Lonchura striata: one gene and its partner. The protein of the gene in region 1 purifies or fractionates together with the protein of each later gene. This does not show direct contact. Links are inferred from orthologs where the notes say so. Each region holds a gene or a part of one and is shown on either strand. Other genes may lie near its edges.

Region 1 (6,955 bases):
GCCTGGTCACAGAACCCAGAGCTGAAATGAAAGAATACAGCTCTAATTCTTCCTTATTTCAAAGAAAGGAAAAGGATTAACAGACTACCTGAACAGGATGGGAAGTGGTAAAGGAAGGGCAAGGATAGATGGAGCAACTGGAATAGTCATTTGTTAGAAGAGAAGCAATCAAGAGGCAATGTAGGGCAGAGCAGCTAAAAACAGAAAAAGGGAGCAAAGAAGGTTAAAGCAGAGGAAGGGCAAGACCAAAAATGCAAAGCAATATTAAAATACACTTGGGCATGAAGTCACCTCTTAACTGCTACAAACACAAGCCTAGCTCCAAATACACACGACTAAGACCAGACAACACTAATGGACCATTTTTATGGAGCAATGAAGTACTCCTGCAGTACTTTTAGTTTTGAGACATTCTTTCTCATATTTTACATAACAGCCTAAGTTAAAAACACTATTAGTCACCTAAAGCGAAATCTAGGAATCTGAAGTGTCTCCAACAAGTTCTTTGGCAAAGGACGGTCAGAATCAAATGATTCCCTTTACTATAGAAAGCTGTACCACCACAGGTGTGTCAACCACAAGCACAAGCCTAAAGCATTTGGAAAAGAGGAAAGACTGAACCACTGCTGTATGCACTGCACACATCTACTCTGCAAAGAACAAACTGCTAATCCCATTACAGTGTAAGGTTAAGGAAAGAACAATGGTGATAGTGGTGACTGTGATACTGGGAAGAAGCCAATCTACAGAATAATATCAAAAGAAGCCACTAAAGTTAGCTAAATATTTACTTGATACACTTAAAAAACCACCAAGTACAACAAATTTAGCTAAGTATTGGGAATCAAATTCCAAAAGATGTTTATTCTTAGAATCAAAGAAAACATGCCTTGATAGTATTCCGATTACAAATGCTTGAGGTAGCACTAATCTACTAAAAAAGGAAGTCCTGTCATTTTGACATTATCTCCCTCCCCACCCAGTTGAACCTAGCTACATACTAAGCACAAGACTGCCTCATGCATTAAATATAAACTTCTGGTAAGAAATTATTAATTTGAAGGTAGCACAAAATGCTGAAGGGCAAAAAAAAAAGTCCATATCCAACAGAACAGCTCAAAAAAGTATGTATTTCTTAATTCACTTTTATCAGCTTGCTAATTTGGAACTATTACATTATTTACCACAGGTTTGTCCCTATACCCCTTGGCCTTCCATTAAAGCTTTCTTAAGCAGATGAAGTAATTCTTACTATCAACACCTGCCTGATCTTTCTAGGGAAGATAGTTATCTATCCACAGGAAACAAGCTCTTAACTCCTTTGTCTGTCTCTTGAATCAGATCCTCAGACAGCTATTTGACCAGAAAAAAAAAAAACAAACTTACTCTTTAAAGAAAATAAGCTGATAAACTCTACCAATTTACCAACCCACTTTTGTAATTTTATTTCTTTGCCTGAATTTTGCTCCTCCTGAAGACTCCCACAAACTTCTTTTCCTAATTCCTTTAGAGCAGAATTAATTAAAAACCCTTATGTACTGTCTTTACCCGCATGTTCCTAAATAATGTTCTTAATTTAGAAAATATTAACCTCACTTTATATAATATAACTCCTAACTGAGAGTAAAGCAAGCCACCCTGACTTCAGCCATCAGTAAGGCAGACTTAACAGAACCACCCAGGCCTCCAAAAGCTTAAGCCACAGGCATCATGAGGTCTCATGCACTGAGCCCTATGACAGCCCACTAGAAAAGATACAGATCCCTTAAGACTTCCAGTACTCTTAAAGTACCTCTTTTTGGTTGTTTTTTTTTTTTGAAAGAGGAACCACTGAAATACTCACTTGCTGAGAAGTACACAGTTTATCAAATTAACTACATAACCAGCACCACTATGACCAAGAATTACATAGATACAGTAGATATGTCAAAATAAATTTATTATAATTAAAACATCATCAAGATGTACACTTTTCCATACAGAGAGGCATAAAACAGCCTATTTTTGATTTCTGTACCATACTGAAATCAGAATTCTATTTCAAGGCATGTCTGACTTCAGCAACAGATCAGGCCATCTCTGGAAATAGCGATATACAGATTACAAACTATTTTGGAGTTTGTGGCATTTCTTCCCCCAACAGCCTAAATCTATTTCTCAGCACACAACATCAAAAATGTGTTTTCAACTCTACTGCAGTGTATACTTCAATCCCTGCTAAACATAACTGAAAACTACTAAGGCACAAGCCAGCATGCTTGAATCTCTACCATATTAAGTTACTTAATTGAGCAAAAATATCAGGAAGCCACCCCCGCCTTTGAGTCCATCATGCCTTTCCTTCCCACAACTTGTACACTGGCTTACTATTTTGTACCAGGAACCTGATAGTGGACATACAGAATGCCACAGTTGTTTTCTACTCACCTATGGGATTACAACAACTGAAAGCAGAAAGCACTTGCCAGACATTAAGCTAACATTGTAGCAATTTTCAGAGAACAAAGCTGTCACTTGAATGTACAGGTGCCTTCATTACATGCTCTTAGAAGGGACAAAGACAATCTACTTTCAGCTTGATCTCAGGAGCCAGTTTAGGTTCCAAAGACAAGCCCATCTAGAAGAGCAGATACCAAGCTTGGGGCAAGAGCAGCTTTGAACCATGAGGGACAACTTCCAAAACTGAGGTTATTCTGATAGCTGAATGTAGGGTAAAAAAATTTAGGAATTTGCTAAGAACTGAAGGCAAAGCACAGCCTCAGCTCAAGCAACTCTAATGAAGTGTTGCTGGGTAAGAAAGAAGAAGAAGGGTTCACGGGACAGGCAGCTGCTGTAGCAATAGGGGAAGGCTGAAATACCGAGGCTGTTTCAGGAGTAACACCCCTGTCAATAAACATTTACGATTTATTCTAATTTTAACTCCTCTCTCTCTTTTTCTTCCAAAGATTTAACTCTGCTTCAGCAGGCTGCAGACGGGGTGAGAAAGGAAAGAAACCAGAGCACTCTTCTCCAGCCAGAGGAGGGCTCAGAGGAGCCACACACCCGCAGAGACGCCCCTGAGCCAGACCCCGGGAGCTGGGGCATGGGAAAATGAAGTAGGAGCAGGGAGGATTCAAACCGTATCACATATTAAAAAAAATAAAAATCTAATTACATCACGAGGAAAGCAGTTTTAAGCCATTTGCTTTACTCTCGTTTCTATCAGGGTCTGGAGGGGGGATGGGGCAAGGCAAAACGCCGGTGCCGCCGCCTCGCTCACTGGAGACCCGCGCAGGCCGGGCTGGAGCGAGCCCGGCCCGCCCCAGGCGGCCCCGGGGGACGCGCCGGGAGAGGGAAAGGCCGGGCCGAGCCTGGCGGAGGCTGCGGCTCGCAGGGGAAGGAGGCCCGGACTGGCCCCGCACCGGCCACGCGGGGCAAGGCAGGGGCGGCGAGGCCCGGCGGGAGGGGGTGTCCGGAAAGAGCGGCGCCTCCTCCGGGGAAGGAGGAGGCGGCGGAGCGGGGCGAGCTCGCGCCGCCCGGAGGGTCGAGAGGAAGGGCCCGTGCTGCAGCAGGGGAGGGGGCGCGGCGGCCCCGCCTTACCTCCCGGCACGACCGCTCCCGCCTGGCCCGAGCGAGCGGCGCTCCCGAGCCCGCGCCGCCGCCGCTGCCCGCGGTGGGGAGGCGGAGCTCCGCCCGCCCCCGCCCCCTCTGCGCGCCCTGCCGCCATTGGCCGAGCTGCCGCCCGCCAGCAGGCCCCGCCCCTCCCTCAGGCAGAGCAGCGCTCCCATTGGCTGTCATTCAATCCCTGCTGGCCCGCCTTCAGGTTTCTATTGGTCCCTGCGCTCGCAATCTTCCCCTTTACCGTTCCGATTGGTCCGCCCCCAGGGTACGGCAGCCCGGCCCAGCAGCGGCTGACGGAGCGGGCATTTGGGCGGGAGGTAGCGGGAGCGCCGCCGCTTCCCATTGGCGGGGCCGCCGTGCTCGCGCGCTGCGCCCTTGCGACGTGATGGCGCACGCGCGGCCTGGCCTGGCTCCCAAGATGGCGGCGCGCAGGCCGCGCTGTCGCTGAGGGCCCCGCGCTCCGGTGCGCTCCCGCTGCCGCAGCCCTGTGAGTGCGCGGGGCCCGCCCGGGCCGCCCGCCGGCCACCGCCGCCGCCTGGGGAACGGGGGAAGGGAGCGCGGAGGCCGGGGGTAGGGAGCGAGCGCCTCCCCGGGCACCGGCAGCCCCGTGTAGGGCGGGCGGGTGGGTCTGAGGCGGTGTGAGCATCCCCGGCCGCGTTGGGGCAGCGGGGGCGGAGCTGTGGTCGGTGCGTTCGTCTCGGGTAAGGTATGAAAAAGCCGCGATCGAGCTCTGGAGTTCTTCTCCAGTTTCATGGGGTGCTTAAAAAGGCAGGGAAAAGTTATTATTTCCGGGCGTTGCGGTCTCTGGATTGGGACGTTTAACATGGTTCATTTAAGGTGCTTGCGGGTGATAATTTTCATTCCTGGTTCCGTATTCGGAAATGCGTTTGGGCTTTTATAGAAAAAGATCTTACCGCTTCAGGCGCTTTTAGTGTTAACTGATTTTTAAACGCTTTAGAAGTTAGAAAGTAAAATATCTGGTAAGGAAGAAGGGTCGTTGCAGTTATAAAAGCAGCTTTCTAGTAAATATGATGAGAATGTGTGCTTGTGGCCTGGCGCGCTTTCGTTGAGTCTGGAAATAGTTTTTAGTAGCCATTTACTTTTTCTTGTGCCAGAATTTAGATCTGTCTGTGACCGATACCACGAGTTGTGAAGGTGATTCCAAAACCACCGTGAGGCAAAGACAGTTTCGTTTATTCTGAAAAAGAGACTTTTTGAAGGTGAGCGAGGTGCTGATTGTAGGCATCGTTCTGTGGCTGTTCACGGGATCTTCCTTCCGTTTTCGGAAGGGAAACGTCTCGATAAGTAATAACTGATTTTAAGAGTTTTAAGTTTGGGTCTTACTGTGACTGTCTTGCTTAGAGCGAATATATTGCATCATATATTAATGTCTGTCTGTTATGCAAACCTTTGCAGGTGACTGCAGTAATCTGGGAATAGTATCTGTAGTTAGTTGAGTTGGAGTAAGAGCAGTTTTGTGCCTGTAAGAAAAAAAAAGCACTCTTTAAGCTGAGGCATGGCTGAACGTCTGTCATAATTCAATCACCAAAAAGGTGCCTGCAGAACTTTGTGATCTGCATCTGTGTACACAAAGTGCTGGTAAACAGGGGCAAGTAGGAGACTCTTGGGGTGTATTTGGTTGCCTTGTTTGGGGGATGATTTTAAATGCTGCCTTGCTCTATAAACTCACGTTGTCTTAATCTAGGTATGTGAAAGAACACTGACACACTTTTTTTCTTTAAGTAGTAAAAGTACAGATCACTTTACAAAGCTTCTGCCAAGTGGTTGCTGCCCGCAATATCCCTGGGAGCAGGCAGGTATTTAAGAGGCCGTTCAGGCTCGCCTCACCGGTGCCTTTCCTAATTACCAATAGTCATCTAATCGCCCTAACTTTCCACATCTTTCTGCAGCCGTCACTGAATTGTTTTTTCCTAGTTTTACGGACAAAGTAGATGGTAGTTGTTCTACTAAGAAATAGCAATATTGTTGGAGATCTATTCTTGAAGTTTCCTTATTAAACAGGTAACAGCAAGGATAACCTATTACTTTTTCTGATTGTATTTGCAAAATATGGAGAGGATAAAGGCAAAGTTCTTTATTACTTGTCTTTGAGCATAGGAACAAGTTCTTTCCAACAGGCAAGGCTAAGCACTATTCTTTTTTTACTCCTCTTTGAGGAGGAACTTCAGAAGGTAGTTCTCTCTATTTTTAAAGAATTCCTTTTTTGTTTTCTTCAAGGTCCTGAAGTGACTCTCTGAAGACTTCGTTTTTGAAAATTTAAAAAGCAGAGACAATTCTGTTTTAATAAATGAAGGAGAATAAAGAAAATTCCAGCCCTTCTGTGAACTTGGCAAACCTGGACCATACAAAGCCATGCTGGTACTGGGATAAGAAAGATTTGGCACACACACCATCACAGCTTGAAGGGCTTGATCCAGCTACAGAGGCACGATACCGCAGGGAAGGGGCCAGATTCATATTCGACGTGGGAACACGTTTAGGGCTGTATCCTTTACACATTGTTGGTATGAAATGTCTCTATGAATAGTGAGTTTTCAGAATAAAATACACAAGAAATGTGACATGCTCAGCTGATCAGATTTTTAATTGCTAATTAAAAATATATGTGTGTTGAAGTGCCTTTCAATATAATGTGTTCCTACACCATTTCTATCCATTCATTGCATAAACAGGGTTCCAGTTTGTTGAAGAGAAGTAAGATGATACAAACTTTCCAATTAAGAGTAACATCTGTGAGTTATGAAACTCAGTATTTCACTATATGAATCTGCATGGCTTCTCAAATTTTGAATTTTTCCCTCCTTTTTCTAAATTGTTAGAATCTGGCCTTTGAGGCTCTAACCTCTGCCTCCCCAGTCTTGGTCTCTGGTGGCTGTTTTTTTGTTTCATGGTTTGGGATTTACAACTTTGTGTATAAGTTCTCCCCATTGTCCCACTCCCTCATAGACAGCCACTTAAATTTTCTGCTTTCTATATTCCTATGCTTCCTTTAAACTCCTTAGTTCTTTCTTTAATAATGCATGGTGAAGACTAAACTTCTATTTGTCTTAAAGTGAAGAATACGGAGCATGTTCAGATTTTATTTGCATTTGTAGGTTTGAATAGTAACTTTCCTCCATGCCAGCACTTGAATGTGAAGCGATAATTGTTCTGTTCCTTCGTGTACCTACTGCTGGATTTGTCCTTCTCTGAGGCAGCTATGGTGCAACACAGGAGTCACCTTATGTGCATCCTCTTGGAAATACAGTCAGCACTTTGCATACTTACAATAAATGCTTTCGATATCAGCTGCATCTGGGCCTGATCATAGTATTTACACAGCTTTAAGGGCTTT
Region 2 (7,649 bases), on another chromosome or scaffold:
CCCTGTGTGCTTTTTATGGAGCATTTCCAGAGGATTTTCCACCCTGTGGAGACAACACACCAACCTTTCAGGGCCTTCTGCAGTGTCTCCAAGCAGCTCACCAGGTGCTGGTGTCCCCCCGAGTTCAGCACCACACGCTTTTCCTTGGGCAGGCAGAAGAAAAAAAAAACATCATTTTTCCTTGTCCCTCAGTAGGAGGGAATTATGGCAACTTTTGAACAGCTAAGCGAGGTTTATTTTGATAATTAAAAGCAGATTAGATTTCACCCCCAAATTACAACATTTTGATTCCTCTAGGTGAGCAGTAATCTGCTTGCAAGCAGATCACAAAGGCAGGCCTGGAATTGAGTTTATTTTCTTTTTAGCAACTTGCCCAGCTGGAAGAACAGAATGTAGCAACTTTTTATAGGTCTAAGCTGAGAGTTTTAGAAGAGGAGACAGAAAAATAAAGAGTTGGGCAAACTTTTAACACATGAGTGTGGGCAGGAGGTTTTGTTGTAGCTCTCCCCTGCCTCCTGCTGCCACACCAATATTTTAAACCCATTTTTGACTAAGCCAGGGCTGAGTGTTGAGTGTCACTGAACAAACTGTTCCACAAAACAATATCCTGGAAGGGTAAATAGCAGGAAATATAGGTTTTACTCTTTCCCTGGCACTGAACACTAATTAGGGAACGGAAAGGCACATCAGGCTGGGCAGGTTTGGACATCCCTCCCTCCCCTGCACCACTCAGGAGAGAGTGAAGCCACAGTGCTGTGGTTTGACATGAGAAAAAGAATCTTTTCAGCAGGAAGAAGTTGATGTAGTCAGGGGTCAGGTGTAAATATTGACACTTAGAATAACCAACTGAAAGTAGACATGCTCTTAATATAGAGGGGTTAAAGGCTCTAGAGGAAAATGGGGGGGACTGTAGCCCCAAAATTAAACACTAGACTGTTGTTCCTCTTGGTCCTTGGCAAAGCATCCTCAAAGGAGCCCAATGAGCAGTCTCTGTCCATGCACGGTGGTGAGAGCACAGTGACAAAAAGAGGAGTGTCACACTGGCAGATTCTCTCCAGGCAGTGCCACGTGTGACACAGAAACACAAGAGGTGGCAGCTGTGTTTCCTGGGGGTCTGTAGTGCAAGGGAGACTCCTCTGTCCCCTCTTAGACTCAGTATTGATTATATATTAAAAGGTAAATACTTCATTAAGAGTCCAAATGTGTGTCACTGTAGTTTATTAAAGTTAGATAGTAAGAAGAGGAATGTTTTGAAAGGTTTTAATTTCAAATTTTATGTGTGCTTTTCTTTTTTTTCTTTTATACTAATATAGCAGTAGTAGCTTAATAAAGCTTTTTTTTCCTTTTTGTTATTAAGCTTCGCCTGCTTTATTCTCAATCACATTTCACAGCATCCAATTAAGAAGCTGCATTTTCACGGGGATACCAGCATCAAACCATGACACATGGACACAACAAAAAACACCTGGAAAAGGTCTAAAAACCCAAGAGAAATCCTTCAGCAGAGGAGCTGCAGCTCAGAGCCCAGCAATGCTCACCATGACCTGTCTGACCAACTTGATGGTTTCTGTCCAGGGCCGGTTCTGGCTGTACTTGGCGTGGAGCCTCTCCAGGAGGGAGCTCATCTTGTTCAGCTTCTCTGCCTCTGTCACACAGGAACACAGTGAGCCAACTTTGGTAAGTTCTGCAAACCACTTAAACAACACAAAACTTTCCACCTTTAAGCTGAAAATGACTTCAAAGAATTTGCTAACTGCTGGTTTAACCCCAGAGCTTGAGGTGAGGTTAAGTGTTACGGAATCTCCCAGGCTGTTAAAACTAAAGGACTGTGAAAATCTTATGGATTTTCCTGGAAAATGCTCAGCTCCTGTTCTGCACCATCCCTGAGTGATGTGGCCTCAGCAGGTTCAGTTCTGTCAGGAGAGGATCCCCAGAAACTGAGGCTGTGGGAAACACGGGGTTAAAGCAGTGAGGTGGGTTTTGTGTCCTGGATCCCCTCTCTGGTCTCTCTCCCCCAACTTCTTGAAAGGTCCTCAACACCTTCCACCATCAAAAACCTCAGCCAAGTCATTCCAGCTGCCAGTTCTGCCAAATTCTGTGCTCAGACACGTTCCTGCCCCACAGCAGGACATGGGGAAGCGGCTGGAGCTGTGCCAGGGGGGTTCAGGTTGGATTTTGGGAAGTTTTTTCCCCCCCTCAGAGGGTGCTCAGGCAGTGGAACAGTTCCCCTGGGAATGGGCACAGCCCCAAGAGCTCCAGGAGGGTTTGGACAACGCTCTCAGGGATTTTTGGGGTGCCTGTGCAGGGCCAGGAGTTGGACTGATGATTCCTGGATTTTGGGAATTTTTATCCCCTCCCAGAGGGTGCTCAGGCACTGGAACAGCTCCCCAGGGAATGGGCACAGCCCCGAGGCTGCCAGAGCTCCAGGAATGTTTGGATATCACTCTCAGAGACAGGGTGGGATTTTTGGGGTGCCTGTGCAGGGCCAGGAATTGGGTTGATGATTCCTGTAGAGCCCAGAGCCCCAGGAATGTTTGGACATTGCTCTCAGAGACAGGGTGGGATTTTTGGGGTGCCTGTGCAGGGATGGGAGCTGGGCTTTGATGGTCCTGGGGGTCCCTTCCAGCTCAGGACATCCCATGGCTCCACAATCAGCTCCAAGCTGAGGGCTGCTGTCCCCTTGTGCTGCTCCATGTGCTGGGGGGGATGAAGCAGTGGATGAGTGATAAAGAGAACATGGTTCTCATGAACACTGAAATCCAGTGTTTTATTGCCAAGAGACAGAGCTTTTCATACTTTCACGTCAAAAAAACCATCCCAGTGGACGTCATTCCAGAATAAACCCTGTCCCCAGCCCCAGAGGGTCCAGTGCAGACATGACATTTTAGTGTCACCTCACAGGAGCCTGTGACTTCCACCTGCCAAAATTCCACAGTTTGGGCTCCTGATTGATGCTCTGCTAGCCCACAGACCTCACATTGAGCCCTCCAAACCCAAGTGTAAGGAAGGAATGAATGAATGCTGGGTGTTCTGGAGCCTCCTGCTCTGCACACATTGCAAACCCACCTGTGTCCCCTGCTCCAGCTGACCCTGCCTTGGCAGAGGGGTTGAACTGGATCATCTCCAGGGGTCCCTTCCAACCCCAGCTACTCCGGGATTTGTTTTCAGGCACTTTACACCTCTCAGCTGCATCAACACAGGATGCTGCAGGTGGGAAGGGACCCCTGCAGCTCACCTGGTCCAAGCCCCTCCTCAACCAACACTGAGTTGTCCAGAATCCCATGAGAGAGCTGGAAGGGATCTCTGCAGATCACCCAGCCAGGCAGGGTCACCTGGAATGTGCCCAGAGACCACTCACCCTCCCTGGACACCCTCCTGGAAAGAAGCTCTTCGTCATGCCGAGGTGGAACTTGCTGTGTTTTATTTTCCGGCCGTTTCTCCTCGTCCTGCCGCTGAGCAGAGTCTGAACAGGGCTCTGACAGCCCCTAGCGATATCTGCCCGGACTGATAGCATCCTCATCCTCCTCTCCTCCACAGCAACCAGGCCCAGCTCCCTCCACCTCCGCACAGAGACTCCCCACACCTCAAACCACCTTTGTGACCCTCGCCCGTTTCACTTTCCGGGCCGCCACCTCAACCTCAACCCGAATGCGGAGCCTCGGATCCGCCGGGCCGCCCTCCTTCCCTCACGGAGAACCGGGAACCCCCGCGCCCCTCGCGCCGCACTCACCCTCGGCGCTGCCGGGCGCGGCCTTCATATTGCAAACGCGGGGCTGGTCTGGACTGGAGAGAGGGAGCGGAGAGGGAGCGGGAGCGGCGGCGGCGGCCGGGCCGCCCTCGCCCTCACACGGCGGCGGCCGCCGCCATCGCTGCGCCCGCGGCCGCGCTCCCGCGCTCTCGCGAGACTCCGCGGGAGCGGGGCGGGGCTCGGCGGCCAGCGCGCCCCGCCCCCTCAGCGCCCTGGAAGCGCGGCGGCCGCTCCGCAGCCCCTAACGGAGCATTAACCGCTCGTTAGCCGGCGGTGCGCCGGGGAGGGCTCGGCAGCCACCCGCCGGCGGCTTTAGGGCGCGGCGCGGCGGAGCGGGAGAGCGGCGGGAAAGGGCGGGGCGGAAGCGGCGGCGCCGCCGCCATGGGAGCTTTGTTGCGGGCCGGGCGCTAGGGGGCGCTGTCCCCGCCCCGCGCCCCGATTAAAGTTCGCTGGGAAGGAGCCGCCGCGCGATTTGGCGGCTCTCGCGAGAGGACGAGCGCGCGGGCCCCGCCCATCCCCCGAGAGGACTCGCGGACGAGGAGGACTCGCCGGGGAGGGAAGGAGGGAGGGGTGGCGGCGGCGGAGTTGTCGCGAGAGTTGCGGGCGGGTCTCGCGAGAGTTGGCGGCGCCCCCCGGACGGCGCCGCTCCGGTTCGGGCAGAGCGCGGGGGCCGCGCCGGGGGCGGCGGCGGCTCCGGGGCCCCTTCGGCCGGGGATCCGCGCCCAGGCCCCGCCACCGCCGCTGAGGCCGCGGGCAGCGCTCCGGGCCCCGCCTTCCCGGGGCGGCCGCGCTGCCCGCCGGGCCTGGGCCCCCCTCGGATGAGGCGGTGAGGCCGCGGCGCTTCCCCCTCCCCTCCCGGCTCCTTCCCCCCCCCCCGCCCCGGCCCGTCCCTCCCGCCGCCTCCGGGGCTCGGGCCCCGCTCCCCGTGTGAGGAGGGAGCAGCGAGGCCGGCGTGGATGGTGCGAGGGGCGGGCGCGGAGGGAGTTTGAAGTTGGGGGTTTCCGCCGAGTCCGCCCCTCGCCGTTCCCGAGCGCAGCGGGGGAGGAATGCCAAACCCGGAGAGGCATGGGGGCAAGAAGGACGGCGGCGGGGCGTGCTCGCAGCCGGGCGGCGGCGGCTCCAACAGCAAGGAGAGGCACCGGGCGGGCTCCAGGCACAAGAGGCACAAGTCCAGGCACTCCAAGGAGTCCCCGCTGGCGGCCCAGGAAGCGGCGGCGCCCCTGGGAGCGGTGATCAAGCCGCTGGTGGAGTACGATGACATCAGCTCGGACTCGGACACCTTCTCGGACGATGTGGGCCTCAAGCTGGACAGGAGGGACAACGACGAGAGGAGGGCGGAGAGGAGCGAGAGGGCCCAGAAGCACCGGCACCACCAGCACAAGCGGCTCCGGGAGCTGATGAAGAGCAAACAGGCGGAGAAGGACAGGAAGTTGGAAAAGAGCCTGGATGCTTCCAGCAGGTCCGCCAAGGAGAGGATCTCGGGATCCTCCAAGAGGCTCCTGGAGAGCGAGGAGCACCCCAAGGCGCTCTCCTCCTCCAAGAGCAGCAACAAGGAATCGCGCTCGGCCAAGGCGCACAAGGAGAAATCCAGGAAGGAGCGGGAGCTCAAGTCCAGCCACAAAGAGCGCAGCAAAAGCCATCGCAAAAGGGATGCTCCCAAAAGTTACAAAACCATCGACAGCCCCAAGAGGAAATCCAGGAGCCCTCACAGGAAATGGTCGGACAGCCCAAAACTGGACGACAGCCCTTCGGGAGCTTCCTACGTGCAGGAATACGACCTCAGCCCGCCCCGCTCGCACACCTCCAGCACCTACGATCCCTACAGGAAAAGCCCCGGCGGATCCTCACGCCGCCAATCCCTCAGCCCGCCCTACAAGGAGCCCGTGGGTTACCAGTCCAACGCCCGCTCGCCCAGCCCTTACAGCCGGCGGCAGCGATCCGTGAGCCCCTACGGCCGGAGGCGCTCGTCCAGCTACGAGCGGGGCAGCGGCTCCTACAGCGGGAGGTCCCCGAGCCCCTACGGGCGCCGCCGCTCCAGCAGCCCCTTCGCCTCCAAGCGCTCCGTCAGCCGCAGCCCCATCGCCAGGTGCGTGTGCCCCGCCTCGCCCCGGGAGCTGGGAGGGAGTTCGGGAGAGTTTGGAGTGATGGGATACAGGGGGGGATGGGTTCAGGTTGATGGAGGGTGGGTTTAAGGTGGGATATTGGGGAAAAAATTGTTCCCTGCTGCGCTTGCCTGAGGAAGTTGTGGATGCTCCATCCATGGTGTTGTCCAAGGTTGGATAGGGCTTGGAGCAAGCTGGGCTAGAGGAAGGTGTTCCTACCCATGGGATGCTCTTCAGGGCGTTTTCCAACCCAAACCACTCCGTGATTCCGTGATTCCTCCCCATTGCTGCCCAGTGCCGTGTGTGGAGTTGGCTTTGGCTGGGAGCTTTGACCGTTCCCTTTGGAAATGGGGCTGACACTTTGGGAACCGCCTCTGTGCCTGGCGGGAGGCAGCGTCCATGTTGGCTGCGGGCAGGGAGGGAGGCTGGAGGAGCTGCTGGGATTAAGTTACACCCACCTCTGGAGTGGCCCCTTCGTGGGGAGGCTCCCGGAGCAGGATCTAAGGCGCTTACCTGCTGGGAACTTCAGCCACGGGGAATGTTTTCACCTATTTCTGGAAGCCTTTATCTGTTTACTGCGTGTGGGAGCGTGATCCTGCTTTTCAGGAGGGCTCGTTTGGGGTGGATTTTGCTCTTCCTGAACTGGTTTGTCTTTTCTTTCCCCTTGGATTAGAGGCAGCCACGTGCAAACTCCATCTCTCAGCCTAAACTTTCTTTTCTCAGCACTAGAGTTTCTTCCCTTCTGAAATGTGGGCAGGCTGGAAGGGCGAGGAGCAACCAGCTGGATTTTGGCTTATCTCTAATTTTCTCTCCCCTTTTACTCAGTAACTTTGCTCCAGAAGGAAACAATTATTTCAAGGTAGCTCTGTGCGTTTTATTTCAGGTGTTCATTAATCATCCTGTGACATAGTCTAATGTTGATCTTTTCTTTCTCTAGCCCTGGCTTAACGTTCAGTGAGTTTCCAGTTGTCTCCATGGATGCTGTGGAGCTTTGCTTGGAGCTCCATGGCAATTCAGATGTGACCTGGAATGCAATGGCCATAGGAATGCTCTGCTCCCTGGTTGCTGTGCTGCATCCTGCAGCTCAGCAGTTCCCAAAGCACACGGGGCTTTTGGAATTTGGTCTTTGTTACTGCAGCTCTGAACTTCAGGAGTGCTGTCTTCCATGGAGAGCTCGCCTTTGTCCTTGCTGGCAGTTCTGTCTTGGTTTCAACCCCCCTGGAAGCTCTGACGTAAAATCTCTGTATTCCACTGTGATTTTTACAGTGAAAATTTCCTCCAGGCTGCTCCTCCTCTGGCCTGTTTTCTCTGTGTACACCTGGGAGGTTCTCAGGGATAGGCCTGGGTAGTTTTCTGCTCCTTCCCTTCAGTCCTTTTTGCCTGGTGGTGCTACTCTGACACGTTATTTGCTCACCCTTTGGAAGGGTGAGGAAGGTGCAAGGTGTCAGTTCACTGATACAACTCGGAGTTGTGGCGCTGAGGAAATGTCCAGCCCTGAGCAGGGAGAAGCCACTGGGAGCTGCAGAGCAATCCTAAGAGTTTTCTCCCCAGGAGAACCTCTCTGTGTAAGTGGCTGAGTAGAGAATTCAGAGTAGAGAATTCCAGCAGTTCCATTTCCCTGATTTATGGGAGCAACTTCAGAGCACTTTGTGCTGCTTCCCTAAACTTTCAGAGCAACTTTCTAAGGACATCTCCGACTTAAATGCTGGACCCCAAACCAGATGAGTTCCAAAGGTTGCTCACTGTTTACATTCAGCTTGTACCCAACTCTCTGGCTTGATAACTTACTCCTCTCTCTT

Evidence for each region. The genes of interacting proteins can lie anywhere in the genome.
Region 2: the proteins of CCNK (region 1) and CDK12 purify together in Homo sapiens (affinity purification with mass spectrometry; 6 studies listed by BioGRID and IntAct, with this or other methods). This does not show direct contact. The link is inferred for Lonchura striata from reciprocal best matches to the Homo sapiens genes CCNK and CDK12.

Annotation. Positions count from the first base shown.
Region 1 is NC_134608.1:12,582,849-12,589,803, reverse strand, and holds the start of CCNK (cyclin-K), read left to right. Parts: upstream 1-3,955; 5' UTR 3,956-4,087; exon of another isoform or gene 4,088-4,170; intron 4,171-4,221; exon of another isoform or gene 4,222-4,356; intron 4,357-4,715; 5' UTR 4,716-4,820; intron 4,821-5,838; 5' UTR 5,839-5,908; coding exon 5,909-6,105; intron 6,106-6,955. UniProt on the Homo sapiens protein: Regulatory subunit of cyclin-dependent kinases that mediates activation of target kinases.
Region 2 is NC_134627.1:7,131,091-7,138,739, forward strand, and holds the start of CDK12 (cyclin-dependent kinase 12), read left to right. Parts: upstream 1-4,629; 5' UTR 4,630-4,794; coding exon 4,795-5,834; intron 5,835-7,649. Other genes in the region: MED1 (mediator of RNA polymerase II transcription subunit 1), read right to left, coding at 65-143, 1,539-1,645, 3,067-3,283. UniProt on the Homo sapiens protein: Cyclin-dependent kinase that phosphorylates the C-terminal domain (CTD) of the large subunit of RNA polymerase II (POLR2A), thereby acting as a key regulator of transcription elongation.